3 linked regions of the Rhinolophus ferrumequinum genome follow. The protein of the gene in region 1 interacts with the protein of each later gene in a pairwise test. Links are inferred from orthologs where the notes say so. Each region holds a gene or a part of one and is shown in the gene's direction. Other genes may lie near its edges.

Region 1 (7,219 bases):
AGTAACTCTCACTACAACTCCCCCTCCTCTGTCTCAACAGTTCGAATCCTCAGTCTTGACTCCTCAGAATCTCCGCACCGGATTCTGCATCATCCAGACCCAGCCTGCAAATTCCAAAATGGCCACACGGTGGTGGTGTGGGCCTAGTTTCCCAGTCAATATCTGTTCTTTCCCGACTCTCCATATGAGTTTCTTTTTCGGAGTCCTAGTTTATGACTTATTCAAACTTTATGAACCATGGTCCTAACAGATGTAAATGTAAAGGTTTGTGATTATCCGCTATTTAGTATGGAGAAAATATTTTCTGATCAGCCTGTTTTACATGAATTCTGATAATAGTTACATTTGTTTTTTCACAGAAATTTCAATATACACTTCCTGAAAATCTTAAAAAATTAGTATAGACGCTATGAAAATGGTTGACGCTACGCACAACGTTTTTCCATTGGCAATAATATTTGGTGAGCTTTCTTGTAACCATGAAGAACCAGTCTCTTAGTTCAACTTAATTTCCTGACATCCAACAAGTACTTTTTAAGCACCTTCTCCAGGGTAGCAATTTTTCCTGTTAATATTTCACTTTTAAACTTTACCTCCCCAGTTTCTTGAGCTGAAATCCTGGAACACATTTCAAGCCTCCCTGCTTTTGCCCCTGAGGTTCCCACTGACCAGAATACTGACTCCATGGGAAGAGAAGCCAAGTAAATGCTTCCTGCCTGACTGCCACCTGCCCAAGGAGGCTGGGAGATGTCTTCTAAATACAATCAGCAAATGGGACCCAATCGTCACTATTTTGTCACAAAGTGGTTTGTGACCAGGTCCACTTCCACCATCAGACTAAAAGGCCCTCAACCTAAGGCTCACGCCTGACTGCTTTTTGGGTCTCCAAATTCATTCAGCACAATCTCACGACTGGATAAAGATTACTAGATTTTTCAGTCCACCATTTTATTTAATTGCCTAGCAACCTTATAAAAGAGGAATTATTGTCCACATTTTATAGAAGGGGGAAACTGAGGTGTGAGGTTGGGGGAAGGAACAGCCCTGGTGTACTCAGTGGGAAGTTGAACCCCGGTCTTGAGGTTCCAAACACCTTGGAATCAGCCCAGATGCCTTGCTTTCCCTCGCGGTGATCTATTGCTTTTGCTCTCCTTCCATTGGCCAGAATGGCATGTAGCTGCAAGGGATGCTGGGAAATGTAGTCATTTGTGTCACCAAGGGAAAGGGACCGTTTTTTGTGAATGCTTAGCCGGTGTTGGACAAGTGTGGCCCACAAGACCTCATTATCTAACCGTGCTCCCTCTATGATCTTATCTAGCACTCTCCCCTGACCCCTCTCCACTCTAGCCACCCTAACTTCCTTGTTGCTTTTTAAATATGCCTAAATTATTCCTGCCCAATCTTACTGATAACTTATATTAAGACTTTGCCACAATTTTGGAAAACATCACATCACCCATGCTGTCTAAGGCATATGAGTTCATACAACAGTCCTGTGTCAGACTGCACTGTAGCTTTCAAATTCACAGTAATTCTATATTTTGAAGTAAGAGCTAGCTGCCATATTGTGTCTTTCATGTACCTATGTTGAAGCACATATGATTTTATTACAAGTTAGCTTCTATTTTTCATCTTTTGTATTGCAGTTGGTGAAGTAAGATGCTATTTTGTTGTTGGGGTCATAGTTCAGCTGTATCATCTCTGTATTTCACTTCAGAATAGTAAAAGCAGAATTACATGTTACAAATTATTTATGATTAAAAGAAATAGAATTGGGTATCAGAATGCAAATTAAAACCACAATGAAATATCGCTTTGCACCCACTAGAATAGCTATAATAAAAAATGCAGTGAAATAAGTCAGACAGAAAAAGCAGAGAACCATATGATTTCACTGATATGTGATATATAAACCAAAAACAACAAAAGGACAAGACAAACAAATTAGAAATAAAAACTCATAGACACAGACAATAGTTTAGTGGTTACCAGAGGGTAAGGGGATTGGGGGGTGGGAGATGAGGGTAAGGGGGATCAAATATATGGTGATGGAAGGAGAACTGACTCTGGGTGGTGAACACACTATGGGATTTATAGATGATGTAATACAAAATTGTACACCTGAAATCTATGTAATTTTACTAACAATTGTCACCCCAATAAATTTTTTAAAAATGCAGATAATAACAAGTGTTGGTAAGGATGTAGAGAAGTTGAAATCCTTGCATATTGCTGGTGAGAATGTAAAATGATGTGTGCAGTCTGGCCATTCCTCAAAAAGTTAAACATGGAGTGACCATATGACCCAGCAATTCAACTCCTAGGTATATACCCAAGAGAAATGGAAACAGATAACTACACAAAAACTCGTGTTTGAATGTTCATAGCAACACTTTAGGCAAGAATAGAAATAACCCAAATGTCCATCAACTGATGAATTAATAAAATATGGTCTATCCACACAATAGAATAGCATTCAGCCACAACAGAAATGAAGTACTAATACATCCTACAATGTAGATGAACCTTGAAAACATCATGCTAAGTGAAAGAAGCCAGACACTGAAGGACATATAGTCTAAGATTCCATTTATAGGAAATGTCCAGAATAGGCAAACCCATACAGACAGAAAGTAGATTAATGGTTGCCTAGGACTCAGATGATGGGATAAGTGAGGGTGACTGTTAGTGGGCATGGGGCTTCTTTTTTGGGGTGGTGACAAAAGTGTTATAAATTGTGGTGTTGGTTGCAACAATTCCATGAATATACTAAAACCTATTGAATTGTACATTGAAAATGGGTGAATTGTATGGGTATGTGAATTTTATGTCAGTAAAGCTGTTACTAAAAAATAGGGTTATTAGGTGAGTTATAAATGAGAACAGTGGTCTGCAATTAGGTTCAGATAACAAAACTGACTGGATGCTTAGATATGCCAGGTACTGCTCTTCCTGAATCTTCGCACCTTTGATAAGAAATTCAAATATTTTCCCCCATTTTACAGGTAGGTAATTGAGGCTGAGAGTGACATGACTTGCCCCCAAACTGTTGCAATTCATCTTCAGTCTATTTCAGCCTTTTGCACTGTTCTAACAAAGTTAAAAACAACTTGAACATCTGCAGGAATAAACATAGCTTCCACATGTTGGGTTCCTTGTTTGAGCCTGGCCCAGTTCATAGTTTTTACTTCATTTAATTATAATGACAATGCAATGAATTGTTGTTCCCAATTTACAGATGAAGAAACTGAGGCATGGGGAGGGTAAATAGCTTGGCTCAACATCACACAGCGAGAAAGTAGCAGAGCCCCTGGTTCAGCCATCCCCCCCATGCCCACGTTAACCACTCGTTTTTATTGGTAACACCCTCAGCTGGAAATTCCACAGCTTCAAGGCCATGCCTGAATGGACAAAACAAGCTACAAAAAGCATGGATCATATATTGTATTCCCATTTTAAAACAATGTGTATATGCTCGCTATAATCTGATTATCATCATCAAGACTTTGGAACAATTTCCATCTTCTACCCATATAAGTATTCTGAGTTTTCTTTAAAAGCTCTTACTTGGGGTGGCTGGTTAGCTCACTTGGTTAGAGCACAGTGCTCTTAACAAGGTTGCCGGTTCAATCCCCACATGGGCCACTGTGAGCTGCGTCCTCCACAACCAGATTGAAACAACTACAAGACTTGGAGCTCATGGGTCCTGGAAAAAAATACTTAAACACATTTTTTAAAAAGTATTTTTTAAAAGCTATTAGTTGCATCTTTTTGGTAAGGCTACGCTTTAAAAAGAAATTCTTCCTATTACCAAGTTATTTTTAAAATATTTTTATTCTGGGTCTAGGTTTGCAATTTAACTTATTTAAAACTAACAAGTAGAGCACCTCCAAAATCAGAAATCTCCTAACAATCAAAAAAGGACAAACGTGCTTTCAATCAGCCCAATGCGAAAAGGAACTATAGCTGGGGAGACTTATGCCAAATAAATCTTGCTGGGAGCCCATAAAAACACATAGTGCCAGGAGGGAAAGTTTGGATCTGGCCACGATAGGGCGAATGAGTCCGGAATTCTTCTGCAGGCCCCCAAGGGAGCTACACCCAATGATAAACTTCCGGCGGGTATACGACTTCCGTGCGGGGCAGCCGACTAGGTTAGTCCTAGGCGGACCGGAAGTCTGTCACCCCTGAATCTCCGCCCCTTTCAGGAAGTGACGCACAGTGGGGTTGCCGGAAGAAGTGGCGAAGTTACTTTTGAGGGGACCCGAGCGGCGGCAGCGTGCCAGGGGATACAGAGGAGAAGGAGGAGAAGCAGAGCAAGGGGACGGAGGCAGGTGCACCCGAGTGTGAGGAGACGCGGGAGGAGCCCGGCCCGGAGCCTCTCGGAGTTCCCCGCGCTGCTCCGCTGAGCCCCTTCTCTCCTTCTTCTCCCTCCCCTCCATAGCTCGCGTCTCCCCCGACTGTTTCCAGGGAAACGGGAGGAGACCCCGCGAGAGACTGCCCACGAGACCCTCGCGCGCAGCCATGAGCCCCGCCCCCCACTGGTGTTCGGAGAGGGGCGGGACCTGGAGCGAGGTGTGGGGGCGGAGCATGGTGGGAGGAGGTGGAGGCGGGGCATAATGGGAGGAGATGGGGCGGGACCTGGAGGGGAGAGGTGCTGATGGAGCAGAGCAAAGTGATGGGGAAGCGCATTGTGGGAGGAGTCAGAGTGGAACGTGGAAGGGATTGGTCGGAGCCTAGGTGGAGAAGATGGGGGCGGAGCATAATAGTAGGAGGTGGGGTCAAAATGAGTTATAATAGGTTTGCTTTCGCGTAGAGGTGGGATGTAGTAAGAGTAGGTGGGATGAAACAGTGGAAAGGAGGAAGTAAGGGTGGAGCCAGACTGAAGCAGAAGGGGCAGTACCTTGAAAGAGCCTGTGGAAGGTATCTGGATCAGACACAACTTAAAGGAGGGGCGGGGTTTGAGGTCATGCAAAAGGTTGTTTTGGATCAGAAGTTGGGGGGGGACCCTTTTAGAATTGGAAGCCTTTGTAGACTGGCAGGGGTTTGGGGTGAGGTCTATATGCAGTAAGGAAGGAGCCTGAGAGAGATGGAAGAAACAGGTGACCCCTTCAAGACCTGTGGCTGACCTCACCTGAACTTCCCTAGCCCCACAGACTCTCAGACCCATTGTATTTTGCAGGCTGCTCCGTGACCCCCACCATGTCCACCCCCACCACAAGTTCCCAGGATACCCCCTTGCCAGGTGAGTGAGCCCTTCCCAGCTCAGTCCACCGCACCATCACACACTTGTCAGGAGAAACTCACTGTGACTCCCTCTCCCAGGAAATGTCCCCCCTCAGCCCAGCGCCCCCTCTTCTAAACCCGTTGTAAAGGAGGAGCGTCCTGAGCCGTGGCCTGGGGGTCCAGATCCTGATGTCCCAGGCACTGATGGGGCCGGCTCAGCCTGCAGCGTGGGTGAGACGGGGTCCAGAGATGGGCTGGGAGTGGGTATGCGGGGCTGGGGGAGGATCCAGGAAGGGAGAAAGATCAGAAATGAGGACCGGCGGCCCCGGTTTCTTGTTAACTTCTTTTCTCCTGTTCCTCTTTGGAGTTCACTGACATACACATCTTTCCCTCTGAATTGCTATCTCCCTGGGTCACCCTCTGTACTCTGGCTCCTTGTCTCTGATCTCTCACGGGCCTGTTCTCTGGCTGCTGTTTCTTTCCGTGGCTCTGTCTCATGGCTTTTTTCCACCCACTCCAGTCATCCCAGACCCAGCAGAGGAGCCAGAGCGCAAGCGAAAGAAGGGCCCGGCTCCAAAGATGCTGGGCCACGAGCTGTGCCGGGTGTGCGGGGACAAGGCGTCTGGCTTCCACTACAATGTGCTCAGCTGCGAAGGCTGCAAGGGCTTCTTCCGACGCAGTGTGGTCCGAGGTGGGGCCGGGCGCTACACCTGCCGTGGTGGTGGAACCTGCCAGATGGACGCCTTCATGCGACGCAAGTGCCAGCAGTGCCGGCTGCGCAAGTGCAAGGAGGCCGGGATGAGGGAGCAGTGTGAGTGTCAGGGAGGGAGCAGTTCCACCCTGGCCTTGCCCAGCTCTCGGGCCTCTGCTGAGGCCTGTGTCTCCCCAACAGGCGTCCTCTCTGAAGAACAGATCCGGAAGAAGAAGATTCGGAAGCAACAGCAACAGCAGCAGCAGCAACCCGTAGGGCCGGGGGTCAGCAGCAGCTCAGCCTCTGGGCCTGGGGCCTCCCCTGGAGGGTCTGACGGGGGTGGCCAGGGCTCAGGGGAAGGCGAGGGTGTCCAGTTAACAGCTGCTCAGGAACTAATGATCCAGCAGTTGGTGGCAGCCCAGCTACAGTGCAACAAACGCTCCTTCTCTGATCAGCCCAAAGTCACGGTACTGCCCCTTCCTCGGCCGTGAGGGGGTTATGGGCCTGGGATGGGGAGGGAATGGGGCTCCAGAGGGCAGGGGCTTGGAGAGGAGGGTCTTTTGGGGTGCAGGCTTTGCCTCACTGTGCCCCCATGGCCTTGGGCTTATGGGAGGAGTCCTGAGAGTGATCCTGGACCCCTATGTCCTAGCCTTGGCCCCTGGGCGCAGATCCCCAGTCCCGCGATGCCCGCCAACAGCGTTTCGCCCACTTCACGGAGCTGGCCATCATCTCGGTCCAGGAGATTGTGGACTTCGCCAAGCAGGTGCCCGGCTTCCTACAGCTGGGCCGTGAGGACCAGATTGCGCTCCTGAAGGCATCTACCATTGAGGTAATGGCCAGGCCACCCACCCTCAGCAAGCCTCTTCCTTTCTGCCCTCAAGGAACCCCAGGAATGAGCCTGAGGATGGATGCTGGTAGCACAGTGATGAGCAAGGCCTCTCCAGACCTTGCCCTTATGGGGATGATATTCTCCGGGGGCCTGTCAAAATACTAAACAAGATAATCAGAGTCTCCAAAGGGCCAGAGAGAGAAAAGAAACGGGCTGAGGCTGAGAATAACTGAGAATTGGGCTGAAGAGACACAGTTTAGAGAACGTGACAAAAAGGCTCTTTAGAGGAGTTGACATTTAAACTAAAACATTGGTAATAAATAAGGTTTGAGTGACTAGTGTGTGCCAGGCTATACTCCAAGTGCTGGGCACATGACAGAGAACAAAACAGGCAAAAATACTGCCCCTGTGCCTCGTAACCACCTGGGGAGAGTGTCCCAAGTGGAGGGAGCTGTGTGTGCTGAAGCTGGAGG
Region 2 (7,529 bases), on another chromosome or scaffold:
GTCACTTCTTGATACTCTTTAATTTTTTTTCAATTGTGTTGTTAACACTCTATTTCTACTTTTCAATCTTTTGTTCCTAAGAGTAAGCCCATATTAAGCCGTTATACAAAGTAGAAGCCTTTATACAAAGTACTTTATATAAAGTAGACCCCTCTTCAAAGTACTTTATTTCTTATTGTCTGAAAATTGTTGAGCTGATTTTATAATAAAAGATACTTTACTGCCATCTGCTGGTAAATTATCACAATAAATTTATAATTATAATGTCTACCAGTGAATGGCACCCACTTAGATATGTCCTCCTGAAAGACACAATTTGTCCAACTAAACGTGGTTATCTTGTCGTTTGGAAATGTTGTGATGAACCCTGCAGAGAGTAAAATGGTGATGCTCTCTAGATGGTTAAAGATGTGGTTCAAGTATCCACTATCAATCTTTTTACTACAAAGCATAAGCCCATTTGGACAAACATTTAAACGTAGAAGTTCAATAAATGTTAATCAAATTGTTCACATCAAAGAACAATTGATTTGCTTTTTCTTTACCCAAATCTGAATCCAGAATATCTTGGATGTCTTAGGACTGCTTTTCTTGCTCATAACAAACTGTGAGTAGCCTGATAACCTCCTTAGAGACCTCTGTTAATCTGCTCCTTGTTGAGTCCTCATAAGTGCTCAGTACTCTTCTAAACATTTTACAAGTACTAATTCACTTAATCCTCTACTAATTCATTTAATCCTCTAATCCTCTAATCTGTAACGTACCCTTATTATCTGCACCTTACAAATGAGGCAACTGAAGCACAAAAAAGTTGTTATATTACAGGTGATGATATTACAAAAATACTTTCTTTGGGAAAGGGTACAGTCTATTAGGGACATAAAATAAAAACTACGTTAAGGATTAAAAAACAAACAAAATAAAGGAGAAAATACTTTGGACTCTGTTGGACAAGTCATTTTTCTCTGTTTGATCCCAGTTTCCTCATGTATATAACAAGAAGGTTGGATTTGCCCAAAGTTACATAACTAATAAATGGCAACACTAGAATCTGAATTTGGGTATTTTGGCTTCAAAGTCCAGTCTTGTAAGCACTATGCTATTGTTAGTGCCGTCTATGGCCTGTTTTTGTTCCTTTGCTACCTTCCTGTGGGCAACAAATATTTGTGTTGCCTATGCACCTGCTGTTTTCACTTATCAGATGTGTAGGTCCCCAAGTGGGCCCCTGTCTCCTAGCTCCCTGCATCCTTGCTAATCCCAGAAAAACCCATGACCTTCAGTTTAAGGACATTGATAACAAGGTGAAAAAAATGAGGACAGTGGCTCAGGTTCTGGCATATGTGTATTTTTTAAATCATGGCAAAAAATATATCCATACAACACAAATGTCGCCATTTACACCATTTTTAAGTGCACAGTGGCATTAAATACATTCACATTGTTGTGCAACCATCACTACTATCCATCTCCAGAACTTTTTCATTTTCCCCAACTAAAACACTGTACCTATTAAACAGTAACTCTCTATTCTCCCCTCCCTCCAGTGCTTGGCAATCACTATTCTACTCTGTCTCTATGAATTTGACTACTCTAGGAATCTCATATAAAAGGAATTATATAATATTTGTCCTTTTGTGACTTCCTTATTTCACTTAGCATTATGTCTTCAAGGTATATCCATGTGTGAAAATTTCTGCCCTTTTTAAGGCTGAATAATATTCCATTGTATATAAATAACTCATTTAGTTTACCCACTCGGGTTGCTTTCATGTTTTGCCTATGGTGAAAAATGCTGCTATGATCATGGGTGTACATATATCTCTTCGAGTCCTTGCTTCTACTTTTTTTGAGTAAATATCCAGAAGTGGAATTGTTGGAAAAGATGGTAATTCTGTGTTTAACTTTTTGTGAAACCACCAATTTTTTTTTCACAGCTGTGGCACCATTTATATTCCCACCAGCAATGTGAAAGGGTTCCAATTTTTCCATAACCTCACCAATATTTGTGGTTTTGTTTTTGTTTTTTTTTTTTAAATAGCCATCCCTAATGATTAATGCTATTGAATGCCTTTTCATGTGCTTATTGGACATTTATATGTCTTCTTCGGAAACTGTCTATTAAGTCCTTTGCTCATTTTTATTTAAATTTTTATTGGGGAATATTGGGGAACAGTATTTTCAAGGACCCATCAGCTCCATGTCAAGTTGTTGTTTTCAATCTGATTGTGGAGGGCACAGCTCACTGGCCCATGTGGGAATCGAACCAGCGAATTTGGTGTTATGAGCACTGCGCTCTAAACACTGACCCAACCAGCCACCCTCTTATGCTCATTTTTAAATTGAATTTCTGTTGTTTTATGAGAACCACCCCCCTTTGCTCATTTTTAAATTGGATTTTTGTTGTCCTACGAGAATCTTGTAGAATCTTTCAGAGCTTTCTTACCTCTAGAAACTTTCATGAGATTTGGAGGTGTGTATGATGTCATCTCAACCTGTTACCTGGCTTCTGGTAGGACCCTTGTTTCTGCAGGATAAAATAACCAGAGTTTCTCATTTGGTCTTTCATATTAATTAATTAACCAAGTAATTCATTTATTGTATCATTATCTAAAGATACATGTCAGATTGCATATACCAGATTTCCAGGTTAACACAAAAGAGTACATGCTTGTATGTTTATATGAAGTTCAAGAACTGTCAAAATTGATCTAAGGTGCTAGAAGTTAGAATAATGGTTACCTTTGGGGGAGCCAATATTGACTGGGAGGGGTCGTGGGAGAGAACAAAAGAAACTTTCTGGGTTGGTATTTCTGTAACTTGATCTGGGTGGTAGTAACACAGGAACATAAGCAAAAATTTATTAGGTATACACATAAAATGTTTGCATTTTGCTTTATGTAAATTATACCTCACTTTTTAAAAGTTAAAAGAAAAATCTTTTAAAAAACTTTTTTTCCAGGCTCTTTTTGTAAATCCTTTTGGTGTTAATTTCATAGGCTCAAAAGTCTAAGGTGCCCCCTTGTGGCCGCGTGTGGTTCTCTTTATTTTTCTCTGCCCTCTTGGGCCCAGCACTTTGTGCTAGGATTCATACCTACAACAAATATTTATTGAGCGCCTCCTCTGTGCCAGGCACTGTGTTATGTGCTGAGGAAACAGAAGTAAACAAAATGGACAAAGTCTCTCTTCTTATGGAGTCCACAGTCCAGTCAGTGGTAAAGACGGAATAAACAACTTAGTACATCCTATCGAGAACAAGCAAGAGAAACCGCCTGGGAAGTGAGTGGTCAGGGAAGGTGCTCTTGGGGAAGAAATGTGTGAGCTGGTATCTGAGGGCTGATGAGTTATCTAGCAGGGAGAGCATTTTAGGCTGAGGGTCAGCATATGCCAGTGTCCTGAGAAGGGGGAAATGCAATATGTGAAGGAGATCACTGTAGTTGCAGTCCACACAAGGGAAGAGGGCCCTGAGATAAGTCTGGAGATGTGGGAAGAACAACAGTAAGACATCTATTTGGTCTTTACCTTAAGAGCAGTGTGGAACCATCAAATAGTTTCAAACAGGGGAGGGACATGATCAGATTTCTGACTTACTGACATTACTCTGACAGCAGGGTGGAGAATAGATTGGAGGGGAGTCAAGCACACAGTGTGTGCTCAATAAATATTCGTGGAATGAAAGACTCCTTTTCTTAGATGAGACCAGTATTCTTGAGCTTTGCAATCAGTTTACAATCCATCTGCTCGTCTTCTGTCTTCTGTGATGCTTCTGCATCACAGAAACAGACCCTTAATTCCCATTTTACAGCTGATGAAACTGAGGTTCAGAGACAAAGAAAATCACACAGCTACCAAGAGTGAATTGGTAGCACCCCCCCTCCCCCATAGAGAGTGGATAATCCTGGGGGCACCTATGTCCTCAGGCCCGTAGGAATTATACGGTCTTGTAATTCAGCCCCGCGACTCCAAGGACTGCCCTTGAATCCAGGCCTGCATGACAGACATCAGGTCCGGTACTGGAGAGGCCTTCCTACATTTGAGGAGCAGGGAGGGCACCTACTGAGCTTGCTGGGGTGATGGTGATGGGAAAAGACAGAGAAGAACTTATAGGCAAATAATAATAAAGGCTAAAGGTTATCTTTATCACCATATGACACTATCTGTCAGGCATTGTACCAAGTGCTTTCCATGCTTTCCTCATTTCCTCTTTGGTATTATTATCCCCGTATTTCAGATGGGTCAATTGAGGCTTGGAGAACGGAGTTGCCCAAGAACACTCAGCCAGAGGGCACCTATAGGGCTGCACAGTGACTCTGAAGTGGGGGCAGGTGCCACTTGCGATATTGCAGCTACAGGAGACAGATCCACCCTGTCTGGGCCCTAAGGTCTGCACCCAAGTGAGCCGGTGCGCGCTCCGCCTCGCGCGCTCGGGGACGTTTGGTCACGTGACCAGCCCCACCCACCTCTAGTCCGCCCCGCCCCGCCCCCTCCCGCACTCCCTCCCTCTCTCCCTCCCTCCCCCTCCCTCCCCGGCCCGGTCCGGCCCATCCCCCTCCCCGCCGGCTCCCTGAGGCCCTGCCGGGTCGGGCTGCTGGCGGCCGGGCGCCGACGGCCGAATAGACGGGCGCACGCGAGGACGGACGGACGCACTCACGGAGGGCCGCGGGCACGGACGGCCCGGGCCGGTGCTCCGAGGCCCGCCCGGGAGGGCTGGGGCCGCGCTCAGGTGAGGTGACGGCGACGCTGGCCCGTAAGGGGTGGGCCCGCCGGGCGTCCACGGTCCCGGCCCGGCTGGCGACGCTAGAAGGAGACGGCGCCCGGGCCTGGCGCGGGAAAATGGCGCCGGCTGGCCGTGCGGCACGGCTTCTGTGCGGGCCTGGCCGGGAGCCGCCCCGCCCGCCCGCCGGGCTCGTGTCCCCGTCGCCATGTTGGGGAGCGGGCCCCGGGCCGGCGGGCGGGGGCGCTGGAGGGAGCGGAGGCCCGGCCGGGTTGAAGAGGGTGTCGGACGCCGGGTCTGGGGCATTGAGGGAGTGCAGGGCCGGCCGGGGTCTAGACGCATGGGGTGGCGTTCCAGGTCCAAGGAACTGGCGGGAGCCGGACGTGGGGTCGTGGCCAGGGTCGTGGACTAGGGATACTAGGTCCAAACGGAACCGGGGTCGGGGTCTGTGGGACTTGGGTGAGCAGGACCTGGAACTGGGTTAGGCTGTGGGTGGTGTTCAGGACCCCAGGGCAGGTAGGACCCCGGAGGGGCGTGGGGTCCGAGTTCAGGCTGTCAGGGCTGTGGCACTTCTTTGGGTGAAGAGGAAGGGGTTGATTAGAAATGGGGGCTCTTTGGGTACAGACGCAGGTATCAGATTGGGGCAGTCCTTGGAGTCGCGGGGCTGAATTACAAGACCGTATAATTCCTACGGGCCTGAGGACATAGGTGCCCCCAGGATTATCCACTCTCTATGGCGGAGGGGGGTGCAACAAAAAGGGAAGAGTTTGATAAGGAAGAGAAAAAAGGGAGACTGCAGTTGTGTGCAGGAGCTAGCCAGCAAAAGGGGTGCAGAGAGTGGAACTGGTTGGCAAAAAGAGAAAGCCTCCATCAACTTGGAGAGTTTGTGTGTGTCTTTAAAAGGAGGGACCGGGCTGTTTGTGGGCGGTGACCCAAGGTGTCTTCCCTGGAAGGGGACAGCCCACTGTTTTAAGAGCTGGGTCACCTGGGGAGGTCATCAGAAAGAAGTTATTGAAGCCAGTAAGAATGGTGAAGAAGGAATGAATGTGTAAAAACGACAGAGGCCTTAGAGATCATGTAATGATTTCAGATGATGTAGTGATTTTAGCTGAGACATGGAAAGGTAAAGTTGACTTCTCAAGATCTTAAAAGTTAGTAGCAGAGGGTGTTACTGGAACTCAGGTCGCTGCCTCATTCAACATACTCCTGCCTTAGAGGAATTTGCTAGCTGGGAGAAAAATGTTAACAAGTCAAGCATGGCAGTTTATATCAAAGAACTCTTAATTTATTTTGTTTCTGTAATCAGTTTGTCACTTCAGAGACTCAGAGGGATACAAAAAAATGTATAGGTAACCAGCTATTTGATAATTTCTATTATAGCCCATCTCCATTTGTGCAAAGAAGTTATCTTCAGGGCCCTTTTGACTTCTAACTTTCTCAAGTTTTAAGAGATGCGCCTTCTCTTCTAGGTGTTTACTGTACAGCAAAGGGGCACACACACACACACACACACACAAACTAGAAACAAAACAAAACTGAACAATGGTAGAGATCCAGGATCTCTATCATGATCAAGCTAATTGAAGTTTGATCAGAATAGAGAAGAGTTCAAAGTTCACATGGGTTATGGGAGAGCTCTGAGGGAAGGTATGCAAATCAGTCATGAGACATTATAGGGCTCCCATATAATCAAAAAGGACTTTCAACAAAAAGGTTGCGAGGACATTCATAGCAATAAGATTTTCGATATTCAATATGTATATACCATCCATATATAAAGCAACATGATCCATTTGTTCTGGGTCTTTCTAATGCAGGAAGGCCTAACCTTGTGGGTACCATGGGGGGATGGAGGGAGGAGAGGGAGAGGGGTGTCAAAGATGAGACTGAGAAAGTTGGTCGGAATCTGGTTGTGAAGGACCTTGCTAAGGAGTTTGAACTGGATCCTTAGCTGATAGGCATTCAAGGTCTTCAAGGAGGGGACTGGATGATGAAGTTTAATTTTTAGGAGATAAATGGATATTCTTCAGGAAGGTGGACTGGAGAGCAGGGAAGAAGTAATGAGGGCTTGAACAAAGGCAGAGGCTTTGAACATTGAACAGCATTAGAATTTTCAGGTGTTGATAATTGACATTGTGAGTGATGAGAAAGGGAATTTCTCAGATTTTTAGTGTGGGATAGTGGCTGTCAAAGAGATTAAAAAAATATAAAAGGAAAATGAGGTGAGAATTGTCACAGATAATAAGGAAGATGTTTTTTGGTAGAGTCATAAAGACTTTTGGAAACCATTGCAAAGCTGTCAAATGCGGTGTAGTTTTTGCTTAAGGAAATCAGAGGTAAGTGTTAGCAGACATAAAAGGCAGGGAAAATATTCCTAGAGTGTAGGGAAATCACAGCTGTCTATGTTAGGGGTCCTCAAACGATGGCCCATCAGTCAAATCTGGCCTACCACCTGTTTATGTAAATAAAGTTTTATTGGAACACTGGCACACTCGAACATATTGTCTTTGGTTGCTTTGACACTACCAATGGATGAGTTGAGTGGTTGTGACAGAAAATATATAGCTCACAAAGCTAAAATATTCACTATCTGACCCTTAACAAAGACGTTTGCCAGTCCCTGATCTAGGTGTCTGCATGTGGATGTTCAACTTCTGGTTTGCCATCCCAGTTCCTATACGATAGAGAAAAACCATCTAGGCTCTGTCTTTCTGCCTGGGTCCCCCATACTCTGTGTACCTGAGGCATGACATAGACCCCTGAATATTTTATATTGGTCAGTGATGCCAAGGTCTGTTTTGGGGTCTGCTGTGTGGCA
Region 3 (7,018 bases), on another chromosome or scaffold:
GAAAGAGTAAATAGGATTTGTATATGCAAAGATGGGAAGATCAACCAGTAAATTAGGAGTCAGAAAACATTCTGAATGAAGGTAGAAGAATCCACTTTCAAAATCATTCCCTGAAAATGTTCCTGTTGCTTTGGTTACATGGGTACTAATAAAAAGTTTTTACTTGAACGTTTAAGTCCATAAATCTTGAATACAAATGAAAAAGACCAAGCTTTTCATATCAACTTTTTAATTATCTATGGAAATAGCAAAATTAATGCTATCAAGAAAAAAGAAAAAAAATAGAGGATAGAATTAAGTACTGAAACTCAGGTGTGGTATCTCCCCAACATTGCTGCAAGAGGGCCTGGATGTAAAGGTTCCCCCAAGTGTCTGACATGATGGCAGCTGGCATGAGACTAAATAGGCCAATTAGATGTGACTGGCCCACCTTATTAAATATTGGTCTGAGTTCAGCAAAACTACTCTGATTTTTTTTCTAACTTTTAATTGAGATGAAGGTTTTGACCCAGATACACCCACATTCATAGTAAAATGGAAAAGTGGAAGGAATCATGGTCATGTGTCAAATAAAATCTTGAAAAAGAAAATCATCCAAATTAAACAGCATTATTTATAGTTATAAAGATTAATTATCTGTTGCCTATTGAAGCAGACTAGAGATCCCTAATGAATAAATTAAGCTTTTTCTGAATTTTTATAATCTCTTATATTTCTGTAGCACTTTTTAATTTTCTACAAGACTCGTTTAAGTCTGTCAATAAATATCAGCTGAACAAGGAAATAACCTGGTGAGGTGGCCAGGATGGGTGTTATATGCATCTACTAATGGATGAAACAGACTCAGAAGGAATTGGAGCTTGTTTACACCAAGACTAGTTAGTGCCAGAAACAGGGACAGCTCTCTTTCTTTAAACCTAGGCTAATACTCTATTGCACTAAACTTTCTCCTTTTGGTGGATAAAATTCTGCTCTAATGTAATTATATCTCAATACAGCTGGGAAAAAATCTATTCTAGGAAATCTCAGATTCTGTTTAAATTTTAAAATACAAAATCTACTCTAAACTACACACACTGATTGGCCCAACAACTGGTGAGAATAGTGCTTTTGTGTAAGTGTTGCTTCACTCTACAGAAAACTTTGAACTGAGAAATTCCAAAACTGCTTGATTTGCTTTATTTGCATGACCTGTCAGGGCAGGGAGTCAGGGCAACTGTATGAACCTCAAGATGATCAGTCAGGTGATGATTACACTTTCCCTGTAAATTCCCACAGCAGGTCAGAAAGCTTCTCTTTAGCCTGTACACAAGAGAAAATATTTAAAGTTACAGTAACTTCTTATCCCCACACAGACCAATTTGTTAGTTTAGATTTTAGGTTTAAAGAGTTTAGTCTCCCTCAAAGCTTAGTCATTTAAAATGTACGCATTGTCTTCTTCTTGCCACGTAGGAAGATTGTTCCTATGTGCACCTTTTATGCTTTTTTGTATTGAATGGTATCTTTTACTTGAGTACAAATTTTACATGTCATTTCAGATGAGAAATGATAACTTCTATTCTGTGACCAAAATTTGGTCAAGTTTACTCTATTTTCAAGCTTTATAAGGTTTAAAATTTTCTAGCTACACTTAATACAGACATTATTGTTTATCTGTACAGAGAGTTTCCATGAGGAAGTATAGCTGTGTATCTAACGTTAATACTTTGGGCATAATAATAAATTAACAAAAATTCTTTTGAGTACCCATGAATATAGTAACCAATCAGATTTTCAGAACTCTAAATCAAATGAGTCAAATAAGGGTTGGGGCTGCTTTTTCATGTTTATATTACTAGTTCCTAATACACAAGTATTAGGACTCCATAGATGCTTGTTGAATGAAGAGCACTTTGACAACAGAAAAGGAAACGGAATTTTAAATATGAATTATCTTTGAAAATTCTCACTTCGATAAATGCTCTCTGTACTTCATCAATTTTAAGGTTATTAGATTTACATTATATAATAATTTTGGAACATACTTTTATACTAAAAAATATTTGTTGATTTTCTGAAATTCAAATTTAAGTGTTTTGTTATTTTATCTGGAGACCCTCTCTATTTATCCCAACAATATGTATTGAGTCTCTGACTTGTGTCAGGAGCTGGGCTTGGCAATGTCAGTAGATAGCAGTGAAAGAAACAGACCCAGTGCAAGCCTTCCTGGAGTTGACAGTCCAGGAGGGAAGACAGGCATTGAACAAATTATGGACTTAATTAATTTTGATGGTTTAAGTATTATTAAAGAGATAATATAACAGGGGACCTGATTAAGTCAGGGGTTAGAAAAGGCTTGCTTCTCTGCTCTAGAGGAAGAGACATTTAAATTGAAATCTGAATAAGAGGGTCTTAGTGAGGTGAAGACAGCAGAGGAGGCCCTCCTAGCAGTTAAGGAGAGGAGTGTAGGAATTTTCTGCACATAAAAGAAGGCGAATGTGGCTGGGGGAATTGGCAAGGGGAGCAGAGCTGGGTCTAGCAAGGCTTTGCAAGCCCAGTAAAAGATTTGCCTAACTAAGCCTAGGTACAGTGCTAGATAATGGGGTCCTAAAAATGAGGGGAAATTCCTGCCCCAAGAAACTGTGTAGTGACTCAAAGGAATGGGGTAAGAGGAATAGACAAGCAATACATCTGAATTCTACTTTCAAGGAGCATGGTTATATATAACTTTGTGGTGACAAACATGTTTCCAGACATTTCCAGATTTATTCTCAATAAATTTACGCTGCTGTGCCTGCTCACCTGAACTGTAGTTATCTGCTGGCATGGCTTTAGGAGAACGTTTGCTTAACATTTTTGAAATGTACCGTGTTTCCCCCAAAATAAGACCTAGCCAGACCATCGGACAATCAGCTCTAATGCGTCTTTTAGAGCAAAAATTAATATAAGACCCAGTCTTATTTTACTATAAGATCAGGTCTTTATAATATAATATGATATGATATATGATATGATAAACATAATATGATATAATACCAGGTCTTATATTAATTTTTGCTCCAAAAGACACATTAGAGCTGTTTGTTCGGCTAGGTCTTATTTTCAGAGAAATAGGATAGGTAAAGTCTGAGATGTGGCTAGTAGAAATCCATTCTTAATATATTTGCCACAAACTAGGTAAAAATCAAACTTTTCACCAGTTATTTTCAAGGATTTGTATGGAAAAAGAACTTAAAAAAAAAAAGTAACCTTAACTATGTTAAGAACTTTTACCCAGTGTTAGCACTATTGTATTTTAGCCTGGTTCTTCAGTTCCAGTGGCCATGAACTTCTCGGCATCACTCCAAATTTCTCTTTATGAGGACTTATTGATACAAGAAATATGATTACACATTGTGACTTGTGGTGCAGAATACAAACTAAACTGCTTGTTTTCACTACGATTACAAAAAAGGACACAATCAATTATGAACACCTTTGGGACCCTAAGTATAATTAATAACATCTTATGCTATAAGGTTGAAAACAAGTTTACCTTAATCCAAAATCTCCTAGATCTTCAAAAATACTGTAATTGCTCAAAAAATACTTCTGAAATTAAAAAAAAAAAAAAAGGAAATGGGAATTAAGTGTACTGGACTGGGGTGGAACGTCGTGTTACAAAGGGCCAATATCTTTTTTATGGCATAATTATTCCATCTAGTATCCCAAGAAAGCGTATTATCTTTAATAAAACATCTCTAATACCAATATTCTTCGAAAACTTAGTCTTTCAGTAAAGAGAGCCGGGGATTTTAATTTGCGAACTGCTTAAATGCCAAAATGAAATGCCGGTTTCATAAGAGGAACCGATCACAACCAACGGGAAAGTACCATACCTACCGCAGTAAACCTAAGATAACCTAAAGCCACGAGAAAGCTATGTTGGGAGAATCTCGCGAGAAGTACCGCATTAACCATTTTTCGCGATAGTTTGGTGCCCAGCCCTTTTCCTCTCTCGCAGGATCACGGTTAATCTCGCGATCTTTGGGAAGTTCCGTTGAGGAAGATGGCGGCGGCCGCGAGCACCCTTCTCTTCTTGCCGCCAGGGACTTCAGACTGAACCTTCCCGGGAAGAGTGGGGACTGCTGGTGCCCCGCGTCCCGGGAGCCCGAACCAACTTGATTCCGCCGGTATTGGTGGGGAAGGGCTTATCCTCTTGTGTAGGACTCAGGCCTTCCCCGTCAGGATGAAGGCTCAGGGGGAAACCGAGGGTGAGTGACTGAAGGGGAAAGCAGGGGGCGGGACACAGCTGGGGAAGCCAATCTGTGAGAGGAGCTGGGGGTCCGATGCCTTCGCCGGGGCCACTCTCCCGACGGCGCCGAGTCCCGAAGGCGGGATTTGTGTGAGTTTCAGATTCTGACTGTGCCTTCCCTGGTGATCCAAAGCTCCGACTTTGGGGTGATGGGGGCTCCCAACTTCTGTGAAGGTTTCCTGTTGAGATAGGGGCAATCATTTGGGCCTCAGGACATTTTTATCCTAAAGTTATGGGAGACCAGGCGAGTGAATCTAATACCTGCTTACACCTCTGTTCCAGAAGAGACATCTGAATAAATGACATAATAATAAGAGCTATTCGTTCAAGTACTGGAGGATGTTTTGGCATGAATGAAATGATTAGGTCCTTATGATATTAAAAGCCAACAGTTCCCTAGAATGTCAGTGTTCAGATCTTGTGCTATTGTATATTTTTTTAAAAAGGCGTTGAACTTCATTCTTTCAATGGCTGGGCTAACTCAGAACTGCTGGAAAACAACTTTTCTATGGAATCTTACTTAATTTTCTAAAGTTCTACACTCCAGTTTAAATGCTTCTTTAGCATTTTGGACATAGTTGTAGTAATACAGTTCACTGTATTTTTCACTTGTCTTCTCCACTTTACTCTGAGCTTCGTATTATAGAATAGGGACTTTGCCTTACTCATCATTCATTGTATAGTCGCTGGCACATAAGTAGTTGCTCAAAAAAAAGTTTGATTTGAGCATTCATATAAAGATATGTATCAGGCTTCTCAAGAAAAGAATGGGGAATGTGTTTTGAAGGAGAGGAAGAAGGTTTACTCTTTGGGTGCAGAGGAATGACAGTGTAAAATGGAAACTCAATGAGGCAGGAATCTTGTCTAGTTTGCTCACTGCTGTATCCCCAGCACGTAAAATAGTGCTTGAGTGAATGAGTCTTGAAAGTGGGAATAGCCAGAAATGTGTCCAGAACTGTAAACTGGCTGCAACAGCTCAAAAACCAGTTTTTTGGATGAGGAAATTGGAGGAAGGAGTTTGAATTTTGATTTAGAAGGTGTCACTGCCTCAACTCTGATTTCTGATATTCTGTTGGTCTTTCAATGACACCTTTTCTGTAACATCCCTGCAACTAACTTTTTCTCCTTTGAATTTCAATTAATAATGTGCGTCTGTTTTTAAGAGCATATCCCATTTTGCTTTGTTTGAGGTTATTTCCACATAAACTTATCCAGACCCCTTCACACATGTCATTTCAGGGATATTGTGTGTTTTTGCATTGCCAGTGGTCTCTACCATGTTTCCCTGAAAATAAGACCTAACCGGAAAATAAGCCCTAGCATGATTTTTCAGGATGACATCCCCTGAACATAAGCCCTAATGCGTCTTTTGGAGCAAAAATTAATACAAGACCCAGTCTAATTTTCAGGGAAACACGGTATTACAGGTCCTTGCTCATTCTAAGCAGTAGAAGAATTAGAGGAGGGTTTAAAGGCATAGGAGTTTCGTTCACACAGTTCAGGAGCCAGTTTTTTCTACTTTTCTCTTACCTCTGCTGGAAACTCATCCTTTAGACATTTACCTCTTCCCTGTCCATATAGATTTAGTTTGAATTCAAATAGGAGAAATCTGAATGACAAAGCATGTTTTCTTGATAATACTTAGAAATTGATCTCTTAAAATTATGTAAAAAATTAAGAAAGTCTGTATTTTCACATTGAAAATCAATTAACCATAGTAAGGCCATGTTCAAATATATACTCTATATGTATCACGCAAGGGATTTCATGCATATCATGAAATGATTTTGCCACTAAATTGTAGTCTTGATCCTGAAACATGATTAGAGATGAGGTTTTTTGTTGTTGTTTGTTTGTGTGTTTTTTTGGTTCCCATTCAAAGTTTGAATAGAAAGCAGTTCCAGTCTATGGTATTTATTAGATTAGACTCATAATTTGTGTGTCTTCTTGTCATTAAAAATAAATTCTTTGTATGTTTCCAAGTAAATGATACTGAAAAATATTTTAACTAAGTTCTTACCAGGATCATGTATGGGGATTTCATTTGCAAGAAAAACTGGAAGTTCTTGAAAGAGTTTCTAACGATGTCTTCTGATTCATATTGTAGAATCGGAAAAGCTGAGTAAGATGAGTTCTCTCTTGGAACGGCTCCATGCAAAATTTAACCAAAATAGACCTTGGAGTGAAACCTTTAAGCTTGTGCGTCAAGTCATGGTGAGTGAGGATTGTGGTGTGTGCTTAGATAATTATTTAATAAGCTCAGCTTCCTGTGTAGACTTTTCCAAACTAGTTGTTATAGTGTGTCTTTAATTTTATTTATCATAAAGTTGATAGCCACCCCTACCCAGGTGTTTTAAGAGTCTACTTAAGGAGATATATTTATAAAATTGTGTTAATCATGAGTTATAGTGCACTGGTGTACTGTAGGCAAAGGTGCTAAGAAATACACCAATAAGAGACACACATGATAGACTGGTATAGAGACATTTATTGTTCACTTCTTGTCAAGCTCCTTGTTACTAATGTAATAGTATTTACATTGCGTCTATGCTGGGAGTAGAGTTTGCAGTTCATTCTGAATTAGTTTCACCTTTTCACTCTGTCAGCCTTTTTCCACAGTACTGCTCCTTCCTGAGTCATTCAACAGTATGGTGAGCTCTTAGTTAAGTGGACGACGGGGTTGAGCATGGCTGGATGTTAAACGTTCATCCATATGATTCCACTGGTGGTCAAGTGATACAGGAA

What was found. The genes of interacting proteins can lie anywhere in the genome.
Region 2: the proteins of NR1H2 (region 1) and NCOA6 interact in a two-hybrid assay, tested with the Homo sapiens proteins (2 studies listed by BioGRID). The link is inferred for Rhinolophus ferrumequinum from reciprocal best matches to the Homo sapiens genes NR1H2 and NCOA6.
Region 3: the proteins of NR1H2 (region 1) and MED1 interact in a two-hybrid assay, tested with the Homo sapiens proteins (2 studies listed by BioGRID and IntAct, with this or other methods). The link is inferred for Rhinolophus ferrumequinum from reciprocal best matches to the Homo sapiens genes NR1H2 and MED1.

The regions. Positions count from the first base shown.
Region 1 is NC_046298.1:45,214,545-45,221,763, forward strand, and holds the start of NR1H2 (oxysterols receptor LXR-beta), read left to right. Parts: upstream 1-4,202; 5' UTR 4,203-4,330; exon of another isoform or gene 4,331-4,346; intron 4,347-4,444; 5' UTR 4,445-4,575; intron 4,576-5,182; 5' UTR 5,183-5,202; coding exon 5,203-5,245; intron 5,246-5,325; coding exon 5,326-5,457; intron 5,458-5,746; coding exon 5,747-6,037; intron 6,038-6,118; coding exon 6,119-6,384; intron 6,385-6,566; coding exon 6,567-6,746; intron 6,747-7,219. UniProt on the Homo sapiens protein: Nuclear receptor that exhibits a ligand-dependent transcriptional activation activity. Binds preferentially to double-stranded oligonucleotide direct repeats having the consensus half-site sequence 5'-AGGTCA-3' and 4-nt spacing (DR-4).
Region 2 is NC_046306.1:20,474,305-20,481,833, forward strand, and holds the start of NCOA6 (nuclear receptor coactivator 6), read left to right. Parts: upstream 1-4,515; 5' UTR 4,516-4,648; coding exon of another isoform or gene 4,649-4,921; exon of another isoform or gene 4,922-4,929; intron 4,930-7,529. Other genes in the region: ejaculatory bulb-specific protein 1, read right to left, coding at 2,488-2,524, 2,740-2,822, 4,649-4,921. UniProt on the Homo sapiens protein: Nuclear receptor coactivator that directly binds nuclear receptors and stimulates the transcriptional activities in a hormone-dependent fashion. Coactivates expression in an agonist- and AF2-dependent manner.
Region 3 is NC_046304.1:36,121,091-36,128,108, reverse strand, and holds the start of MED1 (mediator of RNA polymerase II transcription subunit 1), read left to right. Parts: upstream 1-4,004; 5' UTR 4,005-4,207; coding exon 4,208-4,232; intron 4,233-6,380; coding exon 6,381-6,487; intron 6,488-7,018. UniProt on the Homo sapiens protein: Component of the Mediator complex, a coactivator involved in the regulated transcription of nearly all RNA polymerase II-dependent genes.